Linked DNA regions of Lytechinus pictus. The protein of the gene in region 1 binds, or shares a complex with, the protein of each later gene. Links are inferred from orthologs where the notes say so. Each region holds a gene or a part of one and is shown on either strand. Other genes may lie near its edges. The genes, in order: U4/U6.U5 tri-snRNP-associated protein 1-like, U6 snRNA-associated Sm-like protein LSm5, U6 snRNA-associated Sm-like protein LSm2 and U6 snRNA-associated Sm-like protein LSm3.

Region 1 (7,177 bases):
CAGCAACACACGGAATTGTTGCTACATGTATTAGAAAGATCCTCTTGGCTAAGATTTTGTGACCGTTTTCTCTCAGTGCACTTTTTTGGTAGATTTGACTTAGCTACATATGGACTTGAATGACATGGACTTGGTCTGTCATTGTTGTGGCACTAAAGCAGTTGAGCAACGATGAATGTTCAAGGTTAGAATCTTAATTTTCACTTTCAATGCAGATTGGAGTCTGAAAATATGAAATAAGTATGTTATATCCACAAATCCAGGCTAGCTCTTTGCAATCCATCAAGAGTCTGAAAATATGAAAAATAAGTATGCTGTACATGTATCCACAAATCCGGGCTAGCTCTTGGCAATCCATCAGGCAGTGATCGAATCTGGCCAATACACTAGCAACGCCAAGGCAAGATTGATTGAACGAATTTGATTAATACGATGGTGGTCCCAAAGTCTGCGCACCTAACAATTTGAGTTAAGATTTAACATGAACTTCTTATTTCACAAAATCTTTCATTTAATAATGTTCCTTATATTATTATGAGTAAGTGTAACAAATATCTCATAAAAATTTGAAAGAAATATAGGAATTTCTTATATAAAAACCTCGGGCAGTTATTTTCAGATTGAAAAAAAAAATGGTACCCCATGTCTGCGCACCCATTCACTTTGCACACGATTCAGGGATTTTGATGAGAAAGGCTGCATTTTGAGGTCGTCACATGAAACGCCCTAAATTCATTATTTTCCCACCATTTGAGTCAGATTTTTCAATGAATATCTGTCTATGTATTGCATGTGTAAAGTCTGTGTTCCTTGCATATCTTCTTTTACTAGAATCGCGCAGATACATGTACGCATGTGCACAGACTTGAGGGAACTTGCCATACTTTTGTTTTTCTATTAGTTAAATGTATTTTTGTGATAATCTGTCATTTTTGTCTATATTTCGCTATTTATCCGAGATTGTATTGTGTTGATGCATGGTTTTGTTGGCATGCCTTGTTCGCAAACTTCAATTGTATGCGCGTATCGAGTGGACCTTCCTAAAAGCAACACTGCTGTGTCGCTGCCCTCTACGTTCGTTGGTCAATATAAAAGTCAAATAAAGTCAATATAATAAGGTCAATTTGTCAAATTAAGCCAATATAAAGGTCAAATAAAATCAATATAATAAGAATCAATACTAGTACACCATTATGGAAGTAAATCTTCCAATTGATTCCAATATTGGCCATGCCATGAGCCTCTGCGAAGCTCTAAGGGATCTTACTGAGTCTGACTGAGCTGAGCCTAACTTAGGCTCTAACGTCAGCCTTCCTCAAGGCTTCCACTCTTCCCGTAATCCAGGAAATTCCGGGAAGTTTTGCCCTTTTCCAAGATCATTTCGGGAAGTTATCATTTCCAGGAATTATATTATTTTCTGAACATTATGTCAAAATCTATCTCAAAGTTAGATCTTTGTAATGAAAATGTCAAAATTTTCGCTCACTCGCTTCACTAGCAATTCTTTTCCCCGATACGTCTTTGGTCATATTTTGCCCCCTCAATATTTTTGACTCATTACAGCACTGGGCCCTATATTTCATCTTTTTTGCATACTTTAGAAAAGAAGTACATAACATCTATGAAAGACTGGAGAACATTTGTAAAATTCTGAGATATTTTGTAAAATTCCAGGAACTTTTAGTTTTAGAGTTAATTCCACTGGAATTCCAGGTTTCGTTTTTAAAAGGGGAAGGCCTCTCTTCTCCTCTCAGTCTGACAATCAAAAATTTCTGACTCTGGTCTCTGTTTTACTTAGAGTTAGAGAAGTTAGACTTTTAAATTTTTAGTACAAAAAAAACCTGATGAATTAAAAAAAAAAAATTTTGATTTTGAGCATTGAGTCTTTTGAGACTTTGTTATGCATTATGTACTTTAAGTCAAGAAGTTAACAGTAGAGGCGCACGGCCAATATTGGAGACTGTCTCCAATGTGGGAGATTATCTCCAATATCAGAGACTTTTGTAAAGAATTTGGGTATCCAATTTCAGAGACGGTCTCCAGTTTTGGCGACCAATTTCCTTTGTTTACATTTGCTGCAAAAGGATTACCTTGGCGGCAAATAAAAATGTGATAAGGAGATTCCTCATGAAAAATTACCCTTTTTCACCTTCTACTTTAAAAATTCACCGTCTACTTTTGTTTTGATAAGGATTTTTGTTGTCAATCACACACAAAACAAATGGGCTTCTGACCTCAGTGAGACAAAATTTTTGGTTGAAAAAATCATGCTTTTGTTGGTGTTGTTTCTTTTGTCCTTTTGCAAAGCAAGTCTCCAATGTGGGAGATTGTCTCCCCTATTGCTATTGGAGAGAGTCTCCCATATTGGCCGTGCGCCTCTACTGGTTAAGTCTACTTTATCCATGAGTCATGACAATGTATTTCTTTATGATCAAAACCTTAATTTAGAGGTCTCATCATGACATGGGCATGCATGGTCATGGCAATTGTTCAGGAATACCGGTATTACTATTACTATTATATTCGCTGGTGCATGGTGATGGTGCAAATCATATGCTAAAGTTCAGTCCCATATGTGCATTTTTGTGATGTAAAAGTTTGTCACAATTTTGAAAGATTGACCTAAAATAGGCCTATTATTGTCAAGATACCTTGTAATTCAACATCTTTCTCAAGTTTTATGTGGGATGGGCTAAGACTCCTCCCGCGTTTTCGGTCATTTTTCTGTTCTGGTGAAGAAATTTCCCCGGCTTCGACGTCTTTCTCAACGACACGACGATCCCTGTCCTTATCCCTGTGTTTGTGGCTGTGTTTGCTCCGGTGTTTCCGCTCTCTATCTCGGTCCTTATCACGGTCTTTATGCTTGTGTTTCCTTTCCCGATCCTTGTCCTTTTCCTTGTGTTTTTTAGACGACCCCATGTTGAATGAAATCGATAAAGTACACCAGAAAATCCAAAGAAATTAGATATATAAACGTTGATGAGAATTTATTCGCAAAATGAAATGCGTTTTCCAATCGTATATTTTCAGCGAGCGTTATAGACTAGACTCTAGCTGGCGCTCTTTCGGAAAACTTTCGGCCGGTTGCTGATTGTGATTCGATTTGGTTTGGCGAGTGTTGTCAATTTTAGGCCTAAAAGGTTTCAAATTATATGAGCGAAGCGAGTGAACAAAAATTGTCATATTTTTAACTACAAAAATCTAATTTTGGGGTAGATTTTGACATTAAAACAATTAAAAGATATAACGTAATTACTCGCTCCTTCCTATTTCAAGTTTTCGTTGTTTTTTTATCTTTACCGTTTTTTAGGGGGCATAGCCCCAAAAGGCCTATGGTTCCTCGCCCTGAAGTGCAGTGTCTCAAGTTCCCATATATTTTGTAGACAAATCCATCTCTTTTATTCAGAAAGGTCGGATGGTCCTCCTCATGCAGATCTACATAAATTTGTGTCAATTGTTTACATTTAATATAAGTTTTTTTTTAAGTTATCTTTTCATTTGTTTATGGAAAAGGACAGATTATTAATTGTATTGTATTCAGGATAAATCAGTGTTTTAATGTTATGAATTGAATTATAACTGAATCTGGTAACGATAAAATTGTGAATTAGGGCTATTTTCATTTTTTTAGCCGGGGCCGGTTTCGATTCAATATCTAATTCAGAAAGATTAGTAATGTAATGTGCCCCCAACAATTTCCCTCTGACATAGGGCTGAATTAATTCCAAGGCTCATCAAACCATTAACTTGGGCATGTTTAAAAGGGTAAGAAACGTAAAAAAAAATATTTTTTTGATGAGCCTGGTTAGATCATGGAGATTTCTTTGGTCGAATAAGGAAATACCCTGGTCAGATCAAATACTTTTTAATTTTATGATAAGTCCTCTCGGGGGAGATTATATGGGTAAATAATTATCTTTAGGTTCCCCGTGACAGTGCCTGTGATTTCAAACTATAATGTGAAAGTAAATCGCACAATTTCTGTCCCACTTGAGTGAAGCTGCCCCCCCCCCCCATTTTCTTAAACTGATGGTTGGTATGAATCAATTACTTATTATAACTAGGGCAAGTTATATTGACAATAATGAGAGACCAATAGAAGGACTTTGAAGATTCATTTAGTGGCAACCGGGAGTGGCAACCATTGAACTTTCCAGATAAGAGTGATGTGATTTTGCTGACTGGATATAGTTACAATATGATTATTTTATGATATGATGATTTATTTGATTATTTTTTAATTAGTATATAAAGGGAATGAATATTCTTTTTATAAATCATTTTTAAGGTGGATTTATTTGAATGATATTTTTTTTGGGTAGGTATAGCATTGCATAATTTCTGCTAACACAAGGGCTGGTTGAGCATGGGGGTGCACATCCCGGTGAGCGGTGAGGTGGAACTGAAGTGGTAGCTGGGTGCACATCTTGGAGAGGTGGAACTAAAGTTTGAAAAAATCAGCTGTTGAAAGCAGAAGGGGTACAAATTTCGGTTTGAACTCCTCAGCGAGAGGGTGCGTGTGCACCCCCAGCCTATACGCCCTTGCAACAAAGGATTCTTTTATTCATTTTATTTTTTGTTAAAAAGACTAAGATTTTTGTTAGTCAAAGACAACCTGTATCGTACTCATATTTCATTATGTGACTCTCTCTCTCCCTTTCTGTCTCTTTCCCCCCTCTTCTCCTCATAATCTCGCACCCCCCCCCCCACCCACATTGTCTCTTTATCTACACTGTATTTCCATCTGCGCGCTTTTCTCTAATTTTCACCCCTTTATCTCCCCACCCCCTCCCCCTTTCTGTCTCTTCAACTCTTTCCCTTTTCCTCCTCGTCTCTCCTTTATTCCAAAAATATTATTCCCTTCACTATATCCATTAAGGCCAACGTTCCAAGCAGTATGCTTTCTAGGTCGGCATGGTTGGTTACAATGAATGCATACATTGTCACCAACCATGCCGACCTAGAAAGTATTTTGAGTGCTAGTCGCCATAAATAGAGATACCAATGTAATGTATATCTATTATTACTAATGGAAGATCATAAAAAATGAAATTGTTTGAGGGGCGTGAAATGTGTCCATCTTTGCTTTTTTTTTCATTTTACCAAAGATTCTCTGCCTGGAACATTAGCCCCAGAAGTTTTTAGTAATGAATAGTACTTTTTAATGAATAATAACTTCGTCACTATTTTTAATAATACTGTCTGTCAGTGGTAATTTCATTTTTTTGTTCAGTTTTGAGAAATATCTGAAAAATAATGAGAAATTTATGAGAATTTGAATATTGCGATCACTAATGCTATAGAGATCCTCTTATTGGCAATGCGACAAAGATGTATGATGTCACATGTGAACAACTTTCCCTTTGATGGACTATGAAATGCCCCCAAATTATCTTTTTTGCTCTTTCATATGGTGATACAAACTCTTTATCTACAATGTATTCCTTTCAAAATCTTCTATTGAAAGAATAAATTATCTACTGATAGATGTGATAATGTTCACATGTGACATTACACATCTTTGTCGCATTATTAATGGGAGGATCTACATTACAATAATGATCTAAATATTCAAATGATCATAACTTTCGCATTAATTATTCAATTTTCTCAAATTTTTATTGACCTTTTCTTTTATTCTTCTGTATTCGCACAAGCTATCTTGTTTCAAAGATTTAATTTTCCTTTAAACATCGGCTGCATTGGATAAATTTGGTTTAGTTTATAATTTGAATTTATTGCATTGATTTGCTAATATATGTATAGTCCACCCCAACAAAAAGTTGATATGAATAAAAGGAAACAAAATCAAACTTAAGCATAACACTGAAAATTTCATCAAAATCGTATGTACAATAAAAGAGTTATGACACTTAATTTCAAAACAATTATATGCACATCCTGGTCGGGATAGGGGACTGATGACATCCCATACCTAGTCACTATTCTTTATTTTTTTAATTTCATTATTATGCAATATTGAATAATTTAATATTCCTTTAACTGTCATGAGAAAGCTTTATTCCTCCCTGAACACGTGGAATTTCCATGATTGTTTTAACACTTTGTGGTTCAGTCAAGTTGGTCACTATTGTCAAATCTGTAAACACTTATTGTATAATTCAAACAATAAAAAAAAAGAAATTGTGAGTGAGGGACATCATCGACTCTCTTATTTCCATAAAAACACTGAGTTGTGCATATTGTGAAAGATAGGCGAAATTTTAAAATGTCAACCTTTTTAGTAACATCCAATTTTGGCAGCGTCATGCTTTTTTAATTTGTCTTTATTGATTCAAGTTAACATTTTCTGGGATGGACTTGACCTTTAAAGCTTTCTTCGAAGAAGCAGAAAGGGTTCTAAACAGTCGTTTATATAGAACCATTTTGGTTATTCCAGTATACAAGCCTGTACAAGGAGTACAAAATCATATCGATAGAGACAAATCAAACAAACATGACGCTGCAAATTTCATCGAAATCGGATGTAAAATAAGAAAGTTATGACATTTTAGAATTTTGCTTATTTTTCACAAAACAGTTAAATGCCCAACTCAGCGATATGCAAATGAGAGAGTCGATAATGTCCTTCACTAATTATTTCTTTTGTCTTTTATTGTTTGAATTATACAATATTTCAATTTTTACAGATTTGACAATAAAGACCAACTTGACTTAACCATACGCTTTTACAATAATGGTAATTCCACATGTTCAGTGAGGAATATAATTTTGTTTCACATGGCAATGAGGAGAAAATTTGAATTTTTCATATTTCATAATTATAATAAAATACAAAAGAAGTAGTGAGTGGGTGACGTCATCAGTGTGCCAATTTGCATACCGACTAGGATGTGCATATAACTGTTTAATGAAATTTAGCGAAACTTTAAAATGTCATAACTTTCTTATTATTTTACATCCGATTTTGATGAAATTTTCAGTGTTTTGCTTGTTGGATTTTTCTCCTTTTATTCAAGTCAACTTTTTGTTGAAGTGGACTTGTCCTTTAACATGTTTAAGAATCCATTGCAAAAACATCTGAAACCGCTTTAAAACCATTTTATAGATTTGACATAAAAATACTATTAAACATATAAAACTGTGAACTTTTCGGTGAGCTTCACGTGCAAAATTCTGATTCTGGACAACTTGAATGTCTTTACCCCCTCTCGCC
Region 2 (8,068 bases), on another chromosome or scaffold:
CATGTTCAGGGAGGAATTAATCGTTGTATCACTTGACAAAGAGGAGAAAATACGAATATTTCATATTGCATATAATAAAATACAAAAGAAATAAAGAGTGGATGACGTCATAGTCTCCTCATTGGCATACCAGCCATGATGTGCATATAACTGTTTTGTGAAATTAAAGGGATCGTTTAGCTTTGTGAGGAGCTGATTTAAAAAATTCTCAAACTGAGTTGAAACGTGCGTATGAGTGCCAGTACCGTAAGCAACGGACTATAAACCGCACCCGTGGATTAACCGCACCCCTAACTTTGGACTAAAAAATAAAAAAAATAAAAAAAATCCTCACATTATATTTGAGGTACGGAGAAACAAAAACTAAGTTAAAGATTTCAAAGTATCCAAAGAGATTACCGGTATGCGGAAATCTGCTGTTCTTCTTGATCAATTCATCTACAAATGTTTGCAAGGTCCCGACAATATTGGCCACTTACACACTCACTCACCTCACAGTCACAGTGTACACACACACAGCACTGCCGTTCTTGTACATTGCAAACTACGATACGGTACCAGTACATCTTATCAAATAATGATCTGTGTCTTTCCCGCCGTAGGAGGAAGAAACATTCACATTTCTTGCATCACAAACTCACAATCACTTTCAGAATTTGTCTAGCATTCGATGTCTTTGGATACGGGATTACAGGAAGGTTCAAGAAACAAAGAAATTTGCATTGTGCCGTCTCTCTCGTTGCGTGGTGTACATGGTATCTTATGAAAAGCAAACAGGAAAGAAAAAATAAGCTGGCGCGAAACGGGACTTTGGAGGGGATCGAGGGTTAAAATGAATAGCGCCAGCTTAAGTCGCACTGTAACCACAATACAACGCAAGCTAGCTCGAGCTCAGCTAACTCAACTCTCGCGCGCTCGCTCAGCTCAGCTGTGACAAAATATTACCGAGTATGCTTGGCTTCTCTTTGAACTTAGCCAGGGAACTTCGCTGCTTTGAACCGAGAATAAAGTCAAAATTAGTGTCATGAAGGTGGGTGCGTTTGTTATAATCGCTTCTCATTACCCGCGGCTCATACCCCTCTAAACGACATTGCCCTGGGCGGCTACGCCCGGCCACTCGATGTGTTATGAACTGGCAGATGTCTTTTGTTTGGGAGGGGTTACGACGGGCTGGCTCAGACCCGTCACCGTGGATAAACCGCACCCCCGACTTTTGCTTCTATCCCGCCGAGAAAAAGGTGCGGTTAATAGACGGTTACTTACGGTATTTGTCCTCAAAACCTTGTCCTTTAAAATGAATGAAAAAAGCGAAGATGAGGCTGGGATAGACATACATACGGGCAGAGTGCCTCCTGGTGATTATCTTCAGTAGGTGAAAGCATTAACACTGGGATGTTTTTACAAATGAAACTTACTGTTTACTGTTTCTCAAAAGTTTAGCGATCACTTTCTTTTCTGTATCGACATGAAGAGAGGGAAGCTTCTGATCTCTCCGGTAAAAAGTACATCTGCAAATGAATGATAATGACAACCAAAAAAAAATACAGACTGGTGATGTACATAGTTTTCTTAAATGTGAGTATGACGATCGAAAAAAAAAATTATACCAATGGGGATTGTAATACATCAATGGCAATTCAGTCTGCATTCAAGCTTCCATCGATGTTTAAATGTAGTCAAACTTGCAAAAAAAAACAATATTTACTGCCAAATTGTGTAACATGTTGTGCTTTATTTCCTTGATCTAATCAATTTGGGAATTACTTTTTTTAGAGTACTACAATCAAATACAACTAAAGATAACCTAATTGTTAATGTTTTGTTTTGTTTTACACTAGGCTTCATCCTGAAATACATTTTTTCCAAAAAAAAGATCAACATACACAGCAAACATCAGCCTCAAGTAGACTTAAATACTAAAGATGGTAATAAGTTTTCATTAGGTGATTTCGAGATCAGTGTTTGTGCTGGTTTTAGTGCTAATGTTGGAACCACAATTCAGGGGCCCTTTTCCCTATTAAAATGACTTACAGCTGTTGTACTTTGTCATCATGGCAACTAGCTAACTACCATGGTAACAAGGCTTAGAAGCCAATCACTATCAAGGTTTCTATGAGGGTAGTTGCCATAATTGTAAAGTTACCATAGTTGATAATCTTTATGGAACAGGCGCCAGATTGCCTTCACTAGCTCCAACATTTATCCAATTACATTACTGGTATGTGCTTGATAAAGCGGTTCGTAAGTTGTAAGTGACTTTACGAATGACTGGTGACCTCTTATTGTGGTAAGTGATACCCAACATTGTCTTAGTTCCTAAAAAGAGTCCCAAGTCATTCTAAAGCCGCTCGCAAGTTACGAACAGCTCTATGAAACAACCACCATACAGCCCGACACATAGGGAGAATTATCCGAAGGCGAGTTTCATTTTTATTCAGGTGCTCTGCCACCTCTGCCTAGATGTAAAATACCCAACACCAACACCCAAAGGTCAACACCGAACTTGGGATCACCCATTGCATTGTCTTACTTTGCTTCATCATCCTGTTGGACAAGCTGCCAGAACTGTTGGCCAAGTTGGTTGCCACACTGGCCAACATGAAGAAACACAGTCGACATCCTGGGTAATTAATTGCACTGAAACAAACAAAAAACAACATCATGATAAGAATGTAATGGTTTCACACCTTCACAGTACACCACGTAGTATTCTTTTGCGGGTATGTGTTGGTCCTGAAAAAAAACCACCCAAACTCAATGTTTCAACAAGTGTGTTCTTGTATTTTCTTCACCATGGAAACCTTCAGAAGGTAAAACTTCATGATAAACTGATATACACATCTACCTGGTGGTGGACTCTATCTTGACATTGGATTAGGCAGAAATAAAGGCAACCTGCACATCCACACTTGATCCAAGAATCCAAGCCCAGAAACATGGTTCATGAAAAAAAAATGCATATCAGGTAAAACACAATTTTTGTTTTTAATTTCACTACTTGAAAAATCTTAGGTGGGGCAGTAACCCCTGACCCCTCCCCCCGCCCCCCATGTCCATGAGATTATTCCATGGAAGATTATGCATTAGACTACCTCATCCAATTCTCCAACAGTGATCGTGGATTGTCATTAATGATGCAGTTAACACTGCTCTGAGTAATCTAATAGAATCTCAGGTATCCCATAAAGTGCACTAAAACACTGTTCCTGCTCACAGGCCTGATCCCCATCAACACTCTGATTGAGCAGAACTGCCGACTTCTTATTTGGCAACTCATCATCCTCAGTTTCAGCAGATAATACAGTGCTTTGGAAAGCAGATATAAATTCTTTGAAACGCTCAAAGGAGCCCTGGAAAATTAAAAAGAAAGGAGTCCCTCAAAATCCCCATATTTCCATAAAATTGTTTAAAGCTCATCCAATATTGCAGATTTTTAATAGGCAGTAGGTTACAAGTGAAAAGTAGCCTAAAAAATAAAATGTTATTTTTTTTGCTTGAATGAGATCTTCCTGAATGAGATTACCCATATTAGCTGAGCCTTACCTGCCTGACAAGTCCAGGGTGGTTGGTAATGAAAAATACTACAGCAGTAAAACAATGAATAGGTTGGAGATTTTAGCACACTTGGGAACAATCAACCGGAGACAAATAATATCAACTCAAACTTTGTCTAAAATTCATGTTAAAAAAAAGTCCAATTATTTTATCTTACGTAAAAGTTAAAGGGGGTCCACCGGTCAATACTAGTCCTATTTCAGTCACGGCAGACATCAACAGATTTCCTATGCTTGGGCTAAGTTCATTTTCAAGCTACTTTTTACTAAAGTTAGTTCCTGTTTCCAAAGCTAAAACTCTTTAAGAATTCAAGTCTTGCACCGTTTTAGCATTCACTTCACAGACACTTTTTAAATTCTCTATTGGCCTAACGTTAGTCCTAAATCGCTGATAATTTGTCAAAAGCCTTTCAACAAAGGAGCCTTTGTCAAAAATCGGTGAATCAAAACAGAAGTCTGGACAAACGACACATTTACAATTTTTACAAAATTTGATCGTGTGCTATCCAGAGTTTAATCCAGATCCAGCACTTGTGCACCAACTTTTGACAATGACCTCTAGTCTAACTAAGTCTAAAGTCTAATAATCAACTAATGTCCATTGATTGGTAGAAAGTGTCTGCAAAGCTTCAGCTTCGATGCTAAAATACACTATTGAATCATTAGAATCCTTCCATCAGCTGACCCCTGGGGCATTTTCATAAAATGATCATACTCACAAGGGACAATCACACGCGGAGAAGACGAATGGCATGCAGAGCTCTCCAGACCTTGAGCCTGAGTGCACTGCGACCTGGGCTGGTGAGCTGATGATAACTTGTCTTTGGTTTAGCTATAAAGCCTAACTAAGCCAAGGCGGGCTAAGCTAAAAAATAAAAGACCCTTGTAAAAAGTTATTGTTAAAAACTGGGACATCTAACGGTAGGCCTAACGTTAGATCAAAATAAAGTTGGTCGACAAAATGTATCTCTCCTCGACGATTTCTTTCAATCGAATCCCGCGCGGAGTACGGTAACGTTTCTCAGGAGTTTCTTGAGTTTTGATTAAGGTCGAATTCGCAATGTGGTCTTGTTTTTTCTAACGTAGACTTATTCAAGGGCGCTCTATAGGCCAAGCAAATCGAATTCCAAACGGGCCAGAAGCAATAAGAAAAAATATTGGAAGTATAGTAACATAAATTGATTTAATATTATTTTTATTTAGGGATAAAAAAATATTAAAGGGTATGTTTTTCATATTTTTTTAAATTATAAGACATTTCGACACAACTTTAAGGGAAAAAAATGAAAAACATCATCAACGACTTCTAAGAGACAAATTAATCTGGAAATTGAGTTGACTGGAAGTTGCTATCGCATATCGGTGAACGACAACGATTTGACGGGGTTGTGGATCAAAATAAAATTAAAATCACGACAGTATGACTACCGGTACTTCCAACCCATCTCACCTTTTACCTCTTGGTAAGACCCTTGTTTTCTATGAACGTGGTGTTATCTAAGACTAAGTAACGTAATAAGAGCAACTTCAGATGCCCGTGGTCATGCTTTGCTCAGCTCAGCTCATCGGCTGACTCCCCGCTCTGACCCGGTTGCCTGCCGGCACGGCTTGGCAGTACGGAGGCCACGCGCGGCATACCGTTTTGAACTTTTGGCTCTACCACTACCATTGTTGTATGTCCGGACAAGTTGTGCGTCCGGACGATCAATTTTAGAAAGTCATTTGGAAAAATTCACGAGCGAAGTTTCATCAAATTTTAGTACAAGATGTTAGCAGGGGCGGATCCAGCTTTTTATAAAGGGGGGGGTTGGGGTGGTATGCGAGGGAGCGTAGCGACCGAGTCCAAGCGAGCGAGGGTGTGGGAGGGGGGTGTCCCCCTCCCACAGTAGGGAAAAATTTTGAAAATCTGTGTGTGAAAATGGCGTTTTCTTGCATTACAAGTTTTAAAAAAAAGATAAGATTTTAAAAAATGGTCCCCGGATTTTTTTTTTTTTTTGGGGGGGGGTTGCAACCCCCCAACCCCCCCTCTAGATCCGCTTCTGGTTAGGAAATATTATAGAGAACAAAATAGAGGATGATTAAAACTATTGAATTCATAATTTTAATGTATTAAATCCAAAGTCAGACTCAAACTCAAAGACAAAAAAGAAGTCTTCAAAAATATAAAGTGTCCGGACACGTGACTCCCAACCTACTATTAAAGTGCTACCGCCACAAAGATAGTTGTTCTGACTCTGAGACCGAGCTATCCCTTCTGCCAGACGGTATCTAAAGTTACTATCTCTCATGGGCACTTTGGGCAGAAATCTGTCCCCAAAGGTAGGGGGAACAGGGGCTGGAAACTTTGACAAGCAAAAAAATAATAATCACCCAAAATATAAGGTCATTAAAAAAAAAATTACAAGCAAAAAAGAGGTTTTCACCCAAAATGTATGAGGTCATTTAGTCCAAAATATATGTATTATTTCGATTGGGAATGATGTATTTTTCTCCATGAAAGACCAAAAATAGTAGGGGGGACATTTGATATTGTGTCCCCCTACTATTTTTGGTAGGGGGGATGCATCCCCCTGTCCCCCCTGGAGTTTACGCCCATGCTAGCTCTACCATGTCTATAATATACTGCCTAACTTGTTAGAGCCGAGAGTGGAGGATGAATGAGAAAGTGACTAAAAAGAAAAAATTCCTCTCCCCGATGTAGTCAAGACAAGCCTGAAGCTGAGAGGGGTGGGGTGCGTGAGTTTATTTTTAGTGGACTGACTGGAAAATAGCAAGTGGGTAACCCAGCCGCTACTGAATTTGTCAGATATCAGACCTAGGGGTCGAGTAGGAAAAGTGATTTGATTGAGCTTATACTTTTCATTGCCGAAATATTGTCCTCCCAAAAAATGAAAATTATAAATGGGGAAGTTTTTCATTATGTGTGTCACAATCTTGTAACTTATTTAGAGTTCTATTAATTTGCTTCTCGAGTTTCATTGATATGTTTCTTGATAGTTTTGTTTATCGTTAACTGGTTGTTACATTTTAATCTTATTGATAAGTTTCTTTAGTTTAGAAATGTGTTGCACTAGTTTAAATAACCTATAACTATTTGATGCCAAAAGAAAAAGATTCTGCATGTTGCATTTGAATATATTGTAACTAAAACTACATGTCAGTCATAAAACATTGTGTTTTGTTCTGACGAAGTAAATTGAAAGGATCATGGGTTAGACTGTTCTAGCTTGTCATTCTTCTTTAATGATCAAATCCAGAGACCTATTGAGTTGAGTATTAAAACATTTACTATTAAGATTTCTCCTCTTTTTGGAGGCAGCCTGATTGAAATTTTGAACACAACTCTGCCAATAAAGAGACTGATTCTGTGGTCTAAATCATATTCTTGCTCTTTGATTTTATCTTTCAGAACTTGTTGACAAATGTATTGGCTCCCGGATTCACATTGTTATGAAGACAGACAAGGAGATTGTTGGAACTCTGCTTGGCTTTGATGACTTTGTCAGTATCCTTGTTGAATATTAATAAATCAACTTGTGACAGAAATCATTGGTTAAAATGTCATTTAAAAAAGGGAATAGAATTCTTGTGTTGGAGTGAAAAAAAAAAGTCTAATGAGGAAAATAAATGTTTGTTGTAATAATAAACTAGTCTACAGTAATGATCTCTTTTGATTACATTTTCATGTAAATTTGTGAGTTAAAGAATCAATATTAACCTTCTGTAGTTAATGTAATTTTCAATATCATGATTCAAAATGCCTTCACACTCCAGCCAGTTAGCTTTAGTTTAGGTCTTTACTTTGATACTGGCCCATGCGGTCACTATCGATTTATTCTACTTATTAAATTTGTTTGTTGTTGCTAATACTACTAAGTATTATTATTGCATAAAAGTGGTGGTAGTAGTAGTATCATCATTTTCATTACCGTATAATTATCATCATATTATTATTGGTACTGCTGATTTTCTACCATTGTTTTGTTCGATTACTATTCACTGAATTGTGATATTTTAAAGTTGTGTAGAATGTAGATTCCCATGATTTGGTTTAAGCCTTGACACCATGCTTCCTCAACAGACATGGTACTTGAAGATGTTGTAGAATTGTAAGTACTGGGTATATCTTTCTTTTGTGCATTCAATTTGAAGAAACTGCCTGTATTGTAAATGATTATTGTGATGTCGCATTTCATTCATTCCTCACATCTCTAAAGGAGAACAAGGACATTAACCAACAGTGGTTTTGTAGAATAAACCATTCTTACCAGGTTCAATGGGTACCAGAGATGGATACAAGGGGTATGATGGTATCTTTTGACAAGTTTAGTCTTACAAGTCACAGGTCATTTAATATCCAATAACTCTTCCAGGGGGGGAACCAAGGTTTTCAAAATACCCAATAACCCATACTTTACATTTGTAAAAATGTTGCTGTATTGAAAGTTTGAAACCATAGTGGATAATGTGAGTTCAGATTTAGATTAGAGAATTTTTGACAAGACAAATTTTGA
Region 3 (8,003 bases), on another chromosome or scaffold:
GCGCAGACACGAGGCGCTGGCCACTATCATAATGTTAAATCTGAAATTGAAAATCATAACTGGCTGAGTCTCAGATTTTTTCCAAGACCAAGAAAATCAGTTTCACATTCGATCACATATCTCTCTCATTTACTTACAACAATATATGGAACAATATCAACTGAAAGATTTTGTGAAATAAAAACAAAATTCATGTTAAATCTTAACACAAATCGTAAGGTCAATATGATGTATGTGCGCAGACTTGCACCGGCATGGCAGCCACACATCCACGCCCGGCTAGTCGCGGCCGGCAGGCAGCGCTGAGGGGCAGTAACAGGATGTCCTGACGAACTCTAACGTTACAGCTAGCCCCGCAGCTAGCTGCGAGCCGCGCCATTTAACAAACTACGAAAAGAAAATCATAGAAAATTGTTAACTTACCTGTAGAGCCTACTGCGAATGTCTTAGCTTTCAAGTCATTGTCCAAATCTGGTCCGTGTGATTTCAGTGGTTGAATTATTATTAAAACGGCCTTCTTTACCCTTCTTTATCGCACTAGCACTCGATAAAAGTGCGGTGCAAATTAACGGCGCGGCGAAGATGGCTCTTTCAAATTCAAATTAGATTGGCGGTTTGCGTTTGGCGCCTGGCGGCGCTGGTTAATTTGCATAATTATACGGACGATAGCGATCAGTGGCACTCAGTGCGCATGCGCAGGCCCGCCCGCGCCCGGTGATTGAAGGAATAACGAAGGGGGGGGGGGGGTCTAAAGCAAGAAAGAAGTTTTAAAATAGAAATACGAACTTCTTAACATACAAATTTCTTCTTGTTTGGTTTTGGTTGGCAACCAGTCAAGAAATGACGATTTTGCCTCTGCTTTTGCATGGAGCTTTTTTTTTCTTTGAAAGTTTAAGAATGAATTAGCTTAATATTTGTTCTTTATTTCTATTTTATTTATTTTCTTTTTATTTGAAAGATAAAGATAGCCTTGCTTAACATGGCAAGGTTGTAAACTAGCAATAAATATGCGCGTTATAAATAGAAAAAAATAGCTATTCTATTCACCTTCAAAAATATTTTTAAAATATCAGTGAGTTAAAAAAAGAAAAATACATTAATTTTTATGTGATTTGTAAAAATAGTGTAAAATAGTCCTCTTTAACTTAAATTAGAAAAAAGGGATTAAATAGGAAGAAATTTTTTTCTCGCAACAAATATCTAGGATAACAATTTTTTTAATGTAAACTAGAAAATTTCACTGAGAATAACATGTTTCGATTTAAGTTATATGGTGATATCGAACCACATACTTTAATGAAACTTTTCAAGGTGGAAATATTAAAATTAACATAAAGAATAATTAAGTTAGTTATTATGTAGATATTTTTTTCCTCTTATCCTCAATCGAGCTGTGTATAGGATGGATAAATGCATGGCATTTATTGTGGTAAAAGGCTGAATTACATGAATTTGTACAGAGCAAAATTTCAGTAAACAAATAAGCAACAAAAAAATAACAAAGTATACTAATGTATAATATTGGAAAGGGGATACAAAAAGAAAAGTATACAGGGAGGGGGGGGGGGAGTAATGTCAAAAGCAGGAATGGGCAAAGGTTGGGAGTAGGCTAAATGTACTATATACCTTTAACATAATGAACATTTTCACATAAATATATATTTAACCAATGTTGAATGAATAACAATACATGTAGATTAAAGAGTGGATTGTATGAAATAATACTTGCTTTTTTTTTAGAAAAGTAACGCTTTGTTGATGGTAACAATAATAATAGTTATAGGAAACACATTCATGAATGATAATCATAAAGAATTATCTCAAAAGGAATTAAAAACAAAGATAAGAGGACTTTGAAGTAATATGATCTGTACAAAAAATATAAATATTAATGTAAAGTGGGTTACAGCTATATTGAGCCAGTGACTTGTCGGATAAGAAATTTGAATGATTACTGCAGATATCAACAATTACAAAAATATTTCAAAAGTCAGTTTAAGAGAAGCGACAAATAAAACAACAAAGGTATGAAAACATAGTTCTTATATAATATATATATATATATATATATAAACTCTGTTGGAAATAAGTACAATGCATTACCACTATGCCTCTAATATACATATATATATATGTATATATTATATATGTATATACGGGTTCTTACTAGAATCAACTGGTAAGTCCTATTGGTTCTAACTGGTATCATTTGGTTTGATATTCCAGTATGGTTAATGGGTTTCAAGTGGGTTATGGGTGGCCTATGGGTTCCAACTGGTATAATCTGTTCCAGTTTGGTTTATGGGTTTTAACTGAAATCAGCTGGTAGATATATACTGGTAATGCCTATTGGTTCTAACTGGTATCAATTTATTGGTTTGATATTCCAGTATGGTAAATGGGTTTCAAGTGGGTTATGGGAGGTCTATGGGTTCCAACTGGTAAAATATGTCCCAGTTTAATTGATTTATGGGTTTTAACTGGAATCAACTGGTAGTATACCAGTAATGTATGTTGATTTTAACTGGTATCAATTGGTTTGATATTCCAGTATGGTTAATGGGTTTCAAGTGGGTTATGGGAGGTCTATGGGTTCCAACTGGTAAAATATGTTCCAGTTTGGTTTATGGGTTTTAACTGGAATCAACTGGTAGTATACCAGTAATGTATGCTGGTTTAACTGGTATCAATTGGTTTGAAATTCCAGTATGGTTAATGGGTTTCAAGTGGGTTATGGGAGGTCTATGGGTTCCAACTGGTATAATCTGCTTCAGTATGGTTTATGGCTTTTAACTGGAATCAGCTGGTAGATATGCCAGTAATGCCTATATTGGTTCTAACTGGTATCCATTGGTTTGATATTCCAGTATGGTTAATGGGTTTCAAGTGGGGTTATGGGAGGTCTATGGGTTCCAACTGGAACACTCTGATCCAGTTTGGTTTATGGGTTTTAACTGGAATCAACTGGTAGGTATACCAGTAATGCATGTTGGTTCTAACTGGTATCAATTGGTTTAATGATATACCAGTATGGTTTATGGGTTTAAGGTGGCATTAACTGGTATATACACCCATTGGGTTTCTATGGGTTCCAACTGGCATCAAATGGTCCAGTTTGGCTAATGGGTTTTAAACTGGAATCTATTGGTAGATAAACCAGAAAGGCCTATTGGTTTTAACTGGTATTAACTGGTGTACTAATTTATACCAGTATAGTTAATTGGTTTCAACTGGAATAAACTTGTATGTTTTCAGCATGTCCAGTTGGGACAATGGGTTTCAACTGGAATATACTGGCATGGTGGGAGTTTACCAGTTGTGCCAATTGGTTTCAACTGGTACCAGTTGACTCCAGTTGAAACCAGTTAAAATTTCAACTGGTTTCAACTGGTTTTTTTACCTGGGCGGACACTATTGTGATTCCGGACGCGCATATAAATGCGTTCGAAAACAATTTCGAACCGTAAGACTTCCGCAATTCATTTTCACAGATCAATACATAGAACAAGATTGCAAAAACAAGGCGAAAAAAATCAAATTTCTACCTTATTTATCTCTAAAATGACAGAAAATGCTTAAAATATCATATAACATAGTTTTGCATTAACAATTGAATGAATTGATATATTTTCTAACGGAAATATGGGCCTGATTTGCCTAATTTCAATCTCGTCGGCTCCTTCGATCGAATGATGATCAGGTGAGGTGTATTGTGGGTGATCGTCGACGGCTAGTTCTCAAGGTACCGTGCGCGAGGTTTACCGTGAGTAGAGCCGTCGACGATCGGCTGCGCATCGATAAAACTTGATGAGCGTCACGATACGAACGAGCACTGGAAAGTGCCATGAAACATGCAGCTAACCAAAAAATAAAAAATAAATTAAGTTATCAAACACGAATTTATTACCAACATCTGCTCAGATTCGATATAAAAAAAGCAAACAAAAAGTTAGAATTTATTCATGATATGATATAAGAAGAAATAAATCACTGAAATTTATTCTCACATCATTATAATCAAGGATATCTTTACCCGTCCGGAGCGCGTCCGGAATCATGATGTAATTTGTCGCGCACGAAAATAATAGTTTTTCGTGGAGGGGTATGCGGCAAGTGCGATGCAAAGAAAATGGTTCGTAAATATAAAATAATTTTCATTATATTTGGAATAGCAAGTGCGAATTTTTCTTGATTGTATTTTCTCTAGTTGTCATTTTTAAAGCACTGAAATAAAGGTGTCCGGCAATAGGATACACTACCATACATGGGTAAAAATATTGGTTGGCAACGTTTGGCAAAAAATAAGTGTTGATGGATTTGAAATGACGAATAAATTAATATGAATAAGAAAAGTAGAAGAGAGTTCACTTACACTTGTTGACATCGCCATCTTTGATCCTTTTAATTGCAACCTAGTTACGTGACGCGTATAGAGGGCGGCAAAATCATGAGCGGTGCTAGATTAAAAAGTGCTAAAATGTCCCGCTTCAACCACTGAACTAGAAATACATAGAGAAAACATATTGCATTTTGCCTTCTACGGCGCGGCGCGTTCTCGAACAATTGACCTAGCAAAATGGCGGCGGTCATGTGACTTATCGAGTTCGCCAGCGATGTTTTGCTTGGGTGTACACGGCTTCCACGTATTTCTAGTTCAGTGGTTGAAGCGGGACATTTTAGCACTTTTTAATCTAGCAACGCTCATGATTTTGCCGCCCTCTATACGCGTCACGTAACTAGGTTGCAATTAAAAGGATCAAAGATGGCGATGTCAACAAGTGTAAGTGAACTCTCTTCTACTTTTCTTATTCATATTAATTTATTCGTCATTTCAAATCCATGAACACTTATTTTTTGCCAAACGTTGCCAACCAATATTTTTACCCATGTACATAAGTTTTAAAGCTAGAATCTAAACATAACTAGCAGTTTGGCGCATTTCTATAGTTGCATTTTCCCTCGGTGTGTAGGATAGTATAGGACACAGTGCCAGGCGTTAGGGGAGTGACCATACGTACAGTATAAGTCTTTCACTCCCCAGACGCCTCCAGGCTATCCAGGACCAGGTCCAGGAGTCCAGCTAGAGACGACGAGATGAGCGATACGTAGGAACGTCCTAGGACCATTCTTCCGAGATAGGAAGATTGAAGACAAATCAGCGCTTTCCGTTTCACGAAGGCAATTTTGTCTTCCAAGTCCGCGACATCGTTTGATATCGATAGTATTCGGAATCGGAGTCTTCATCGTCACCTGAACTTGAACTTTGTCTGAACCTTTTATTTCGGAATGGCGACTTTTCATAAAATCATATATTTTAATAAAAGGAGATCAAATAATGTTTTAGTTATTACTGATTGTAGAATCGATGTATGGAGCTTACTTTATGAGGTAAAAAGAGAAAAAACTTTCAAGATTCACAAACATAACTAACTGGATAAAATCGAAATCATTATTTCCCTTATTTAGAACACGGTGTCCATTTAGAGACACCTTTCATTGATATTTCAATGAAAGAGACCCTTGTCCGACCTAAAAATTGATTTAACTAAGTAATTTCGACATTTTATTAGTCAGGGCTCCACACTAACCCTTTTTTTCTACTGGTCCAACCTATTCATGTCGGACCAGTAGATACCCAGTTTTTCAATTTTTTACTGGTCCGAACCTAAAATCTACTGGTCCCAAAAAATAAAGAAAACATTAAAAAAAGGCGTGAGTTTATTTTGCTGTCCTTTCTTGTTACCCCCCCCCCAAAAAAAAAAATGAAGGAATGAATGAATGAAAGACAAAAAGAAAGAAAGGAAGAAAGAATAAAAGAAAGGAAGGAAGGAAGAAAAAAGCAAAGGTAAAGAAAGGATAGATGTGAAGGAAGGAAAAAAAGAAAGAAAGAAGGAAAGGAAGGAAAGAAAGAACAAAAATAAAGAAAGAACGAAAGAAAAAAAGGAAGGAAAGAAAGAAAGAAAGAAAGAAAAAAAAAAGAAGGAAAGAAATATGCAAGCAATAAAGAAAGAAAAAATAAAAGACAGAAAGTAATGAAAGAAGGAAAGAAGCAATAAAACAAGAAAGAAAGGGTAAAAGGAGAGATGGAAAGAAGGAAAAAAGGAAGAATAAAAGAAACGAAGGAAGAAAAAAGTAAAGAAAAAATGTGAAGGAAGGAAAAAAAAACCAAAGAAGGAAAGGAAGGAAAGAAAGAACAAAAGAAAAAAAGAATGAAGGAAAGAAGGAAAGAAATGAAGCAAGCAATATAGAAAGAAAGAACAAAAGACAAAGTAATGAAAGAAAGAAGGAAAGAAGGAATAAAAAAAGAAAGAAAGGGTAAAAGGAGAGATGGAAAGAAGGAAAACAGAAAGAAAGGATTGAAAGAAGGAAGAAATCAAGAAAAGGGAAAATGATAGAAGGAAAAAGGAATGTTGGGAAGGAATAAAGAAGGAAGGAAGCAAGCAAGCAATATATAAAAAAAAAAAAAAAAAAGTAAAAGAATAAATGCAAGGAAGAACAAAAAAGAAAGACCAAACTTCAAAGAAAGAAAGGAAAGGAAGCAAGCAGTAAATAAAAGGAAGAAAGAAAAGGTAAAAGGATAGATGGAACAAAGGGGAAAAAGAAAGAACAAAAGACAAAGAAGAAAGGAAGGAATGAAAGAGAAAGGGCTGAAAGAAGGAATAAAAACAAGAAAGGGTAAAGAAAGGATGGATGGAATGAGGAAAGAAAGTTAGTAACAAAGAATGAAGGAAAGAAAGGGGAAAAGAAGGAAGGAAATGAAGAAAGAAAGAAGAGATAAATATAGGATGGATGGACTCAAGAATTAAAGAAAGAAGGAAATCAAAAAAGAAAGAAAAAGAAAGAGCATTAGAAATAGAGAAAAATATTAACAGGACAGAAAGAAAGAAAGAACAAAAGACAAAGAAAAAGGGAAAATTAAAAAAGAAAGACAGTAAAAGAAGAGAGGGAAGAAACAAAGAAAGATTGAAAAGAAAGAAGGAAAGAAAGATTGAAAGAAAACAAAGGAAGAAAGCTAAAACTATCATCATAAATAAATTATCAGTTTCTTTTTGGCTCAATTAAAATATACTAGTACTAGCTACGAAAGAAACCAAGTGGATCAACACACACACAAATGCATATGTGGGGCTATCATGTATTCAGACGATATCACTCGAAACCCGATCTCTTTGAACTAAAACAGAAGTGAAAATTTCTCCTTTTACTGCTTACAAATGACAGAGTTACCCCAATTTTGGCAAATTTTTAGGAAATATGGACATTATAAGAGCTTTTCATTAGTGTGAAATGTGAATTTTGACAGTTCTGTGAGAGATATCTGCCAGAGGTTAGCCAAGCTTCGTTCGTGCAGCCAGTAGGAAATTTACCATGTGGGCTGTGTGGCTGGCTAGCCACGTGTACACTGTATGTTACCCTATCAAAAATTGCATGCGATTCATTCTGTGTGTGTTCTGTGTGTGAATGCCAGAATTTAACGGGAGGAAAATGGTTCGCAATTTGAGTCAATTTAAGTTGGACTAGGGAATTTGACCATTTCTGAAAAAGTTACTGGCCCAACAATAGTTTTTATTACTGTTTATGTCGGACCCATAAATCTTGCTATTTTTGGAAAAATTACTGGCCCGACAATGATATTTTTTACTGGTCATGTCGGACCAGTAAATCTTGCTATTTCTGAAAATCTACTGGTCCGACAGTGATTTTTACCGGTCTGGGACCGTCGGACCGGCGCTAGTGTCGAGCCCTGTATTAGTTCAATATTCTGTATTTTTATAGAATACTAAATATATAATGATAAATTTGCAAATTATGCGTTAATATGTTATTTGTTGAGGTAAAAATAGGGTTTGAATGGTGTAAACAAAATCAACAGTGTCTGATTGTATGAGACTAAAAAGGAAAATATGAGAGGCTGCGTGTGAAAAATCTAATTTATTTATTTTATTTGTCAGATATAATGCAAGAAATACAAATGTGAGTGTTTAGACTTAGTAATTTAGAGT
Region 4 (7,600 bases), on another chromosome or scaffold:
ACCAAAAATTGTTCCAAAACGTGATTTTGTGTACAAAGTCAATGCAAATTGAGTTTTCTCATCTTATTCATGAAGATATGATTATTTTTACTTTAAACAGCTGAAAGCAATTGATTTTAGCATAATTATGCTTCAAAAAGGTTGTGCAATAATCTGGTGGAAAAAAAACAAAGAAAAACAAAAGGTTGAAAAACAAAGAAATACATAAGAAATTCATAAAACAATAAAATACATAAGAAATTGATTTCCAAACCAAAGTTTTTTTCAATTGCCATTGTTAAGAATGCTACAAAGAATATTTTTACCAAAAATTAGCATTCTAGGAGTTTTATTTAGTGAATTAGAGCAAAAAGTATGATTTATGCATAAATAAGCATAATTAATTCATATAAAATAAAATCTCATTATTTTGGAAAATTTTACCATACAGCCTTGTAGATTACATCGCACACTACCAGCGTGCAAATTTTTGTGGCGCTCGCGCGATCGGCGGCCGAGATCTCAGGGGGGGGGGGGGTTGAATCACCCCCCCCCCCCCCCCCCGCCACAGAACAGCCATAAAAGCCCGGCCTAGTTAGGATTAATGCATTAGATATTCATTGCTGCAACTTTTTTTCTTATCATTCACACAGGTATGAACATATTAAATACCGGTAATTATGATTTCATGAAATAAGATTTTTTTTTTTAAAGGAAAGCCCACCTAATGAATAATCATGACAAAGTACACATTGTTTTTTAAAAAATATTACCAAACTTTAAAATCAATCATTTTTTATTTTTTATCAGATTTTGATGAAATTTTGCTCTATTTATTTAAATATATTCATTTTCAGCCCGGAGTACATGTACCCATTAAGCTTTGAGAATGTGGCAATATTTGGCTTATTTTCTATTGATCTTTCTCAGTCAGTTTCCACTACTGTTGTTCTGTATCACATGCCTTCATGAAATAAAAAAAAATGTTGGTGAAGGTGTGAGAAAAATCCATCATTGAACTGATTGAAGATTAAGAAATTTACAAAACTGAAAAGTTTTTGATTTGTGACATCATATATGAGCAGCTGCCCCTTATGCTATGTAATGCGTAAATTTCCATTTTTGATGGTTCTTGATAACTGATTTCTGCTATTTACTTTTATTTTCATTTTTTTTACACATAACTTTTTGTCACAGGGAAAAAAACACACGGGGGCGGCAGGCAAATTCGCCCTGGTAATGCCTAAAGTCACCCCCGAAAGCACCCAAAATCATGCTTTCGGGGGCGGCATAAAATCTGGAAGTTGCCCCCGAAATAATTGCCGAGTGATATACTGGTTAGGCCCGCATGCTGCGCTGCTAGCTTAGCGTCCCCGGCCTAAGCCGGCTGGAACGCACGAGGTCCTTCCGTAACTATGATAGTGAAAATTTTCTTTTTATTGCATTTTGAAGGTAACATCCTAAATTTACAAGAAAATAAGATCGTGAACTCTGAACAAAATCAGTTTTTTTTTTAATTTTAGCGTAATTTTCAGCGACCCCAGTTCTTAAATCTGAACTAAGCTTTCAGGTGCTCTGGAAATATGCCGTGGATTCCGAAATTAGGATTTTCAGCAGGGATTTTTGGTGAGTAACAGTCAGTGCCTGAGTATACATGTACCGTATTATTGGCACATATGCGGTGATGATTGACTGTGAGCTGTGCTGTGTTCAGTGGCTGCGCTGCACTGGTGTAGCTTAGCTTGTGAAATAAGTTGGTATGTTGACATTAGCTGTGAGGCTGCGCTGCATTCTATATTTCATAAAATAATTTTCAATGAGTTTTTATCAAATAAATTAAAATTTATGAAAACGATTACTCGAAGTACAAATTCTGTTCAAAATTTGATGAACTTCATCCTATTCAATTTGATGGACAAAATTGTAAACTTTAGAACTAGAAGGTACATTTATATGAATACACAAGATATAAAAATAAACATTAGATCTAAATGAACAACAAGAAATTAAATAATCATTTAACAATTAATAACAATGAAGAAACATAATTCAATTAAATAAACAATGTTATTGTTAAACATTAAATTAATTTGTAAACAAGCAGGATAGGTGAATTGTCCTGGGTAGCACAATACATACAACATATTTAAAAAAAGTGGAGCCCCCGAAATGAAAAAAGTAGCCCCCGAAAGGCAAATATGGTAATGGAGCCCCTGAAATTTTTTTTTTTAATGAAAATGGAGCCCCCGAGTCCGAGAAAAAAAACTGATAGAGGAAATCATTTTTTTTTTTCAAAAAGTGGTAGGGAGCATTAAACTTGCCTTTAGTTAACGTTAATAACGTTATTTTAAATATTAATATTTAAAAAAATAAACTTAATTTTCAAAATCAAAACAAAGTTCATTTTCATCTCAACTCAGCTCAGCATGCAGCTCAACTCAATTTTATTCAACTGTCTCAAAAATACATGTAACTTCATCCAAAAGGAAATTCAGCCCACTCAGAGACATCTTCTGTCAATCACCAGCAAACACATGAAATAAATAAAAAAAAAAACTCATCTCGCACTGTCGAACAACTAATCTGCGGTAGGCCTACCCCGGGATTTATCTCCTGTGCTATTCGAAATACAATTTCACAAAACCGTGATAATCCCAATTGGACTACGTGTGCATAAGAATCGCATGCGCTCGTACTGGTAATGATATACAGTACTGCCACTTTTCGACGCAAGTCTATTAGTCAAGTCCGCATCCGCGTCGAACATCAAAACTTGACACTCAAACGCCGGCACTAATATAATCACAACCGATATAACATTTATCCACTCAAATAAATAAATAAATTAATTAATTATACTTCTAATACTCACAACTTCAGATTCTTCCGCCATAGTTGCTCCACGCGCGTTGACCTCAGCTCAGGCTTAGATCTACTCCAAGGCAAACCTCTTTCTTTTGGAAAATATTTCATTTGGATCACCAAATTTTAAAAAGAAAAGCAAAGAAGGAATTCAATATTTTTTATCTATTAAACTTTATCATAGATATTGATTCAATTGTTAATTTTATGGTAATTGATAATGATAATGGTTGTCTATTAACTTTGAAATGACCAGGAGAGAATTCCACAAGACTAGCAAAATGAATTATGCAACAACAACACCACATGCTCGTTGTTTACACAATCATAGTCATAGAACACCACGCCACGGCACGGGGGATTCAACACCACTCGCGCTCTCATCGCGTGCAAAGTCCAACTGACAAAATTACACCAATTCCAAGGCCAATATTCAGAGGTTTTCCTGCCACTTAAAGCTAAATTTTTAGTGAAAACAGCTGAAAATAAAACTAAGCATCAAGATCGAGAACGGTACATGACGGTAAGTTTAAAACTAAAAGGAAGGATTAACATGATTAACGGTTAAAACCAGGGCCAGGGCACTCATTCAATGAACAAGGTTATGATATAATGGGCCAGGGGTTAGAAAATTAGACAAGTAATAGAATCAGACTTTCAATTTCATGTCATGACTTTTCATTTAACTAATTTAAGACTTTTAGTTTTAGTTCAGACAGGGTACGGCACTAGTTTGAATTTAGTTTATCTATTCTAAGTATAATTATTATATTACTTTAGTCTTTAATTAAGTTTAGTTAGACTCGAGTCCATTGAACTCCATTAACAACATGATTAAATGAAAAAAAGGTATAATAACATTAACAACATCAAGACAATATCAGGATTTAATAATCTAACGTTACCATGTTATGTTACACTGACACAGGTAGATCTAGACTAACTTGCTAACAAAAACCAGAGCCATGATAGCTGCAGCCCGGGGCCGGCAGTGCAGTGCTGTCTTTCCCAAATCCCCCTGTGTATATAAAAAGTACTGCCAGTGCAACCGATAAAATGTGTGTTTGTTTTGAGCGCAAGCGATATAAATTATAAAGTGTGCATGCTTGCAGGATGCATGTGTCCGTTAATTGACATCATAAACCTTTACAAGTTTTTAGTATTTACTTATTTTTCATGCGTGCGTTCGGCTTCCTATGTAATGAGCGTACTTGTAAATTGCAGTAAACGTCAATGATTGATTTCTGAGTAACATGAAAATAAAACATATGAGCATGCAGTCTTCACATTGGAATAGGAGTGGGCTATAAATGGATGATTTTTGTTTTTACTGTGGCAACAGTTTTTTTGTGTTCCTTTTACCTTATCTGAACATGAAATGACAATATTTTTGGTCTCGGGTCCAAGAAAGTGTGCCGGGCCAAATTCCAAAATGGTTCTTGGATATTATACGATACCAGTTGAACAGTAGCAGGCAGCTTATATAGCTATATTGCTTTTATTCCTCTAAATTGGGGTTTATGGATATTTGCGAAATATAGCCTATCTTATCAAATAAAAGAAAATGTCATTTATCCATAGGCTATATACATGTATATATATATATATAGGGGGTATATGGTATACAATGCACTGTGCATACTACACTGCATATATCCATGCATTGACCACCATGACATATGACAAGGCCTGTATATAAACTATAGTCATAGAAATGAGCTCCTAAGGTTTAAAATTAGATTGTGAATTGTGAATTTGATTGCTTGTCAGCTGATGTACATGATGAAACCAGCAACGTAAATTGCACATAAATATATCATATACATGATATATGTACATCACATTTTTAGCCATATCTTCTTCATTTGGAGGCTTTTTTTAAACCTGGTTGTGGTGTCTAACTGGCCTATGTTTATGGGGTCAGGTAACTATCATGGTAATGCTGATCAACAGCCAATCAGAATCAAGGATTCCATGCAAGTTACCATTAAGTTAAGTTAACATAATTGTAAATTTTTATGCATGGGGCCCAGAATAGCTACAGTGTAAATGCCATGATGTGGGGTTAATTACCTTTCTCCGCCCCCTGAATTAGCATTTGATCAAACATGTCCTCAATTTCTGAGACAAAACATATCTTCAATTTCTGAGGCATCTAATTCTAAACCTAAGAGCTCATTTCTATGACACTATAGTTTATACAGGCCTTGTCATGGTGGCCAATGCATTTATGCAGTGCAGTATGTACAGTACATTGTCTACTGTATAGCCCCTATGGATAATTGACATTTTTTATTTAATAAGATATATTTCACAAATATCCGTAAAACTCAAAGTAAAGGAATAAAAGCAGTATAGCTCTATAAAGCTGCTTGCTATTGTTGACCTCGTACTATCTAATATCCAAGAACCCCAAGACGATAAAACCTACTTTTTGGCTGAAAAAAATGCTATAAAAATGGGAAAATTTAGGTATAATTACCTTTTAACTCTACAAATAATGGCTTATAAGTACTATTTATAGGAAAATCAAATTGCCTGCCCCCAAAAACATATGAATAGACACCAAAACCAGATAAAAAGACCACCAAATAAAGAAGTTGTGGCCAAAACTGTGATTTTGGGGGGTTTTGGCGGCCATTTGGGATTTTGGCCCGGCACACTTTTCTTGGACCCGAGACAAAAAATATTGTCATTTCATGTTGAGATACATTACAAGGACTAAAAAAAAACTGTTGCCATATTGAAATTACAAAAAAAGTATTTTTGACCCATGTATAGCCCACTACTAATTGGAATTAGTATGTACATGAGATATGCTAGACAGCTGAAATCCAATATCTGTCTGGAGGGAGGAGTTTTCATCATCATCATCTGTACGGGAGGGTAGGTAGTCTCCCGGTCGTAAACACTTGATGCATGATTAAAAGTCTAACAAGTACAGTGCGGGCGTGGATGTCAGACAATTTCAAAATGTTTAAAAAACATTTTTGTACTTTTTTTACTTAAATGAGGTGTAGTGAAGAATGAAGCAAGTTTAATCCAAAGGACCAACCAGCGAAACAGAGACTGAAGCTAAGTTTGTATATATAATGTAGTAAACCAGAATAGTTGACCAACCATTATATGGGAATTTTATTTTTAACAAAACTTCAGAGAGCTATTGGAATTTTAGTCTACTTATACTCTGAAAAATCACTTTATTTAATTGTTGCTTGAAGTTTATTGTTAAAACTTATCTATCCTATCTTTGAACAATTTTAGTGTGTCTCCTTTCTTGATCTTTAGACCTGAACAGCTGTTCTCTTAAGAGCACCATGGCCAAACGCAAGTCATCTGGTCCAGTGAAGACATCCAGTGAACTCAGCAGGAAAACAAACACTGAGCCTAATCTAAAGGTCAGAGGTCAAGTCAAGAGTCAAGTAAAAACAAATGAAAAAGATACAAAGGTCAAAGAGAGGTCAAAGGTTAAAGACAGTCAGAACACTTTAAGCCAGGATGAAAGGGTAGCACCTGTTGAAATCAGTCAGAATGGACCAAGGAGAGGTAGGAGTGCAAAATTACAAGCTGTCAAGAAAATGTCAACTATGCAGGAAGATGTAAAGAGAACAGAAGGCATTGAGGAGAATGAATCAGAAGATGATGATTACGTTAGTTTGGATTCAGAATATAATGATGAAGAAGATGAAGATGACTTTGAAGCGACACCTCCATTGCAGAAGAGAACATCAAATACAAGGCAGAAAAATCATGGAAAAATGAAATCCAAAGATAAAAGCAAACAAGTAACTAAGGAACGTAAAGTAGTTCCTGTTAGACAAAGTGAGAAAATCTTTGAGGAAAGGTACGTCTGCCAAGCTTCACAAGAACAGTTTCTTTCATTAAGTGACAGTGGTTCTTCTTCAGAAGATGAATCAGATTTGGGTGAATCAAAACCTTCGTCATTAAAGACAATCCCTGATAAATCTGAAATTATAAGTGCCACATCTCAAAAATCAAAATTGAAGGAGATGAAAACAGATGGGACTGACTCTTCTCTTGTAATACCTTCTCAGCCTACAACGAAGTCAATGTTTGATGATTTAGATGATATACCAGATTTCCAGGGCTCTCAACCAGGGAACAATCAATCCTTGTTTGATGATGTAGAGGTGGAAAATAATCAAAAGGAATTAATCCCTCAGGTAGAAAAGACGAATGTGAAATCAGTGATTAGATCACAGTATTTTGAAGATGATGAGCCAGGAGGTGCTCATGAGGAAGTCTCACCTCAGGAAAAAGAGGCTGATGTAAAACCAGTGATAACATCACAGTATTTCGATGATGTTGATATAGAAAGCGATCATGGGGAATTAACACCTCGAAAAAAGACTGTTGCAAAACCAGTGGTAACATCACCAGTGGTTACATCAGATTATTTTGATGAGTGTAGCAGTCCTGATTCGAAACACCTTTCAAAAATTAAAAACCTGAGGAAGAGAAAGCTACATGTAAGTGATGCAAGGTCTGTGGTCAAGTCTACTACCTTCAATGAAAGTGACATTTTGGAAAAAGATGAAAGTGATTTTGAAGAAAGTCCTCCTGAGAAAGCAAAGAAGCAGCCGAAGAAGAGGATTGCCAAAGTTAAGCAAGCCTCCAGTGAAGAAAAGAAAAATGAGAAGCAGACCAAGAAAGATGTTAAATCCGCTTCTTCAAAGAAAGACGATCACACAAAAAGCTATTCTAATACAGCAAAGAAACCAGTTGTAATGCTTGAAAG

The links.
Region 2: U4/U6.U5 tri-snRNP-associated protein 1-like (region 1) and U6 snRNA-associated Sm-like protein LSm5 share a complex: the UniProt entries of both Homo sapiens proteins name them as parts of the U4/U6-U5 tri-snRNP complex. The link is inferred for Lytechinus pictus from reciprocal best matches to the Homo sapiens genes SART1 and LSM5.
Region 3: U4/U6.U5 tri-snRNP-associated protein 1-like (region 1) and U6 snRNA-associated Sm-like protein LSm2 share a complex: the UniProt entries of both Homo sapiens proteins name them as parts of the U4/U6-U5 tri-snRNP complex. The link is inferred for Lytechinus pictus from reciprocal best matches to the Homo sapiens genes SART1 and LSM2.
Region 4: U4/U6.U5 tri-snRNP-associated protein 1-like (region 1) and U6 snRNA-associated Sm-like protein LSm3 share a complex: the UniProt entries of both Homo sapiens proteins name them as parts of the U4/U6-U5 tri-snRNP complex. The link is inferred for Lytechinus pictus from reciprocal best matches to the Homo sapiens genes SART1 and LSM3.

Annotation. Positions count from the first base shown.
Region 1 is NC_087251.1:43,747,404-43,754,580, reverse strand, and holds the start of U4/U6.U5 tri-snRNP-associated protein 1-like, read right to left. Parts: upstream 3,111-7,177; 5' UTR 2,920-3,110; coding exon 2,652-2,919; intron 1-2,651. UniProt on the Homo sapiens protein: Plays a role in mRNA splicing as a component of the U4/U6-U5 tri-snRNP, one of the building blocks of the spliceosome. May also bind to DNA.
Region 2 is NC_087245.1:27,095,705-27,103,772, forward strand, and holds the start of U6 snRNA-associated Sm-like protein LSm5, read left to right. Parts: upstream 1-4,855; 5' UTR 4,856-4,974; coding exon 4,975-5,017; intron 5,018-6,963; coding exon 6,964-7,059; intron 7,060-7,635; coding exon 7,636-7,663; intron 7,664-8,068. Other genes in the region: tubulin delta chain-like, read right to left, coding at 1,416-1,508, 2,531-2,619. UniProt on the Homo sapiens protein: Plays a role in pre-mRNA splicing as component of the U4/U6-U5 tri-snRNP complex that is involved in spliceosome assembly, and as component of the precatalytic spliceosome (spliceosome B complex).
Region 3 is NC_087259.1:10,985,589-10,993,591, forward strand, and holds the start of U6 snRNA-associated Sm-like protein LSm2, read left to right. Parts: upstream 1-4,762; coding exon 4,763-4,780; intron 4,781-8,003. UniProt on the Homo sapiens protein: Plays a role in pre-mRNA splicing as component of the U4/U6-U5 tri-snRNP complex that is involved in spliceosome assembly, and as component of the precatalytic spliceosome (spliceosome B complex).
Region 4 is NC_087247.1:24,245,757-24,253,356, reverse strand, and holds the start of U6 snRNA-associated Sm-like protein LSm3, read right to left. Parts: upstream 3,135-7,600; 5' UTR 2,873-3,134; coding exon 2,852-2,872; intron 1-2,851. Other genes in the region: DNA repair protein complementing XP-C cells homolog, read left to right, coding at 6,159-7,600. UniProt on the Homo sapiens protein: Plays a role in pre-mRNA splicing as component of the U4/U6-U5 tri-snRNP complex that is involved in spliceosome assembly, and as component of the precatalytic spliceosome (spliceosome B complex).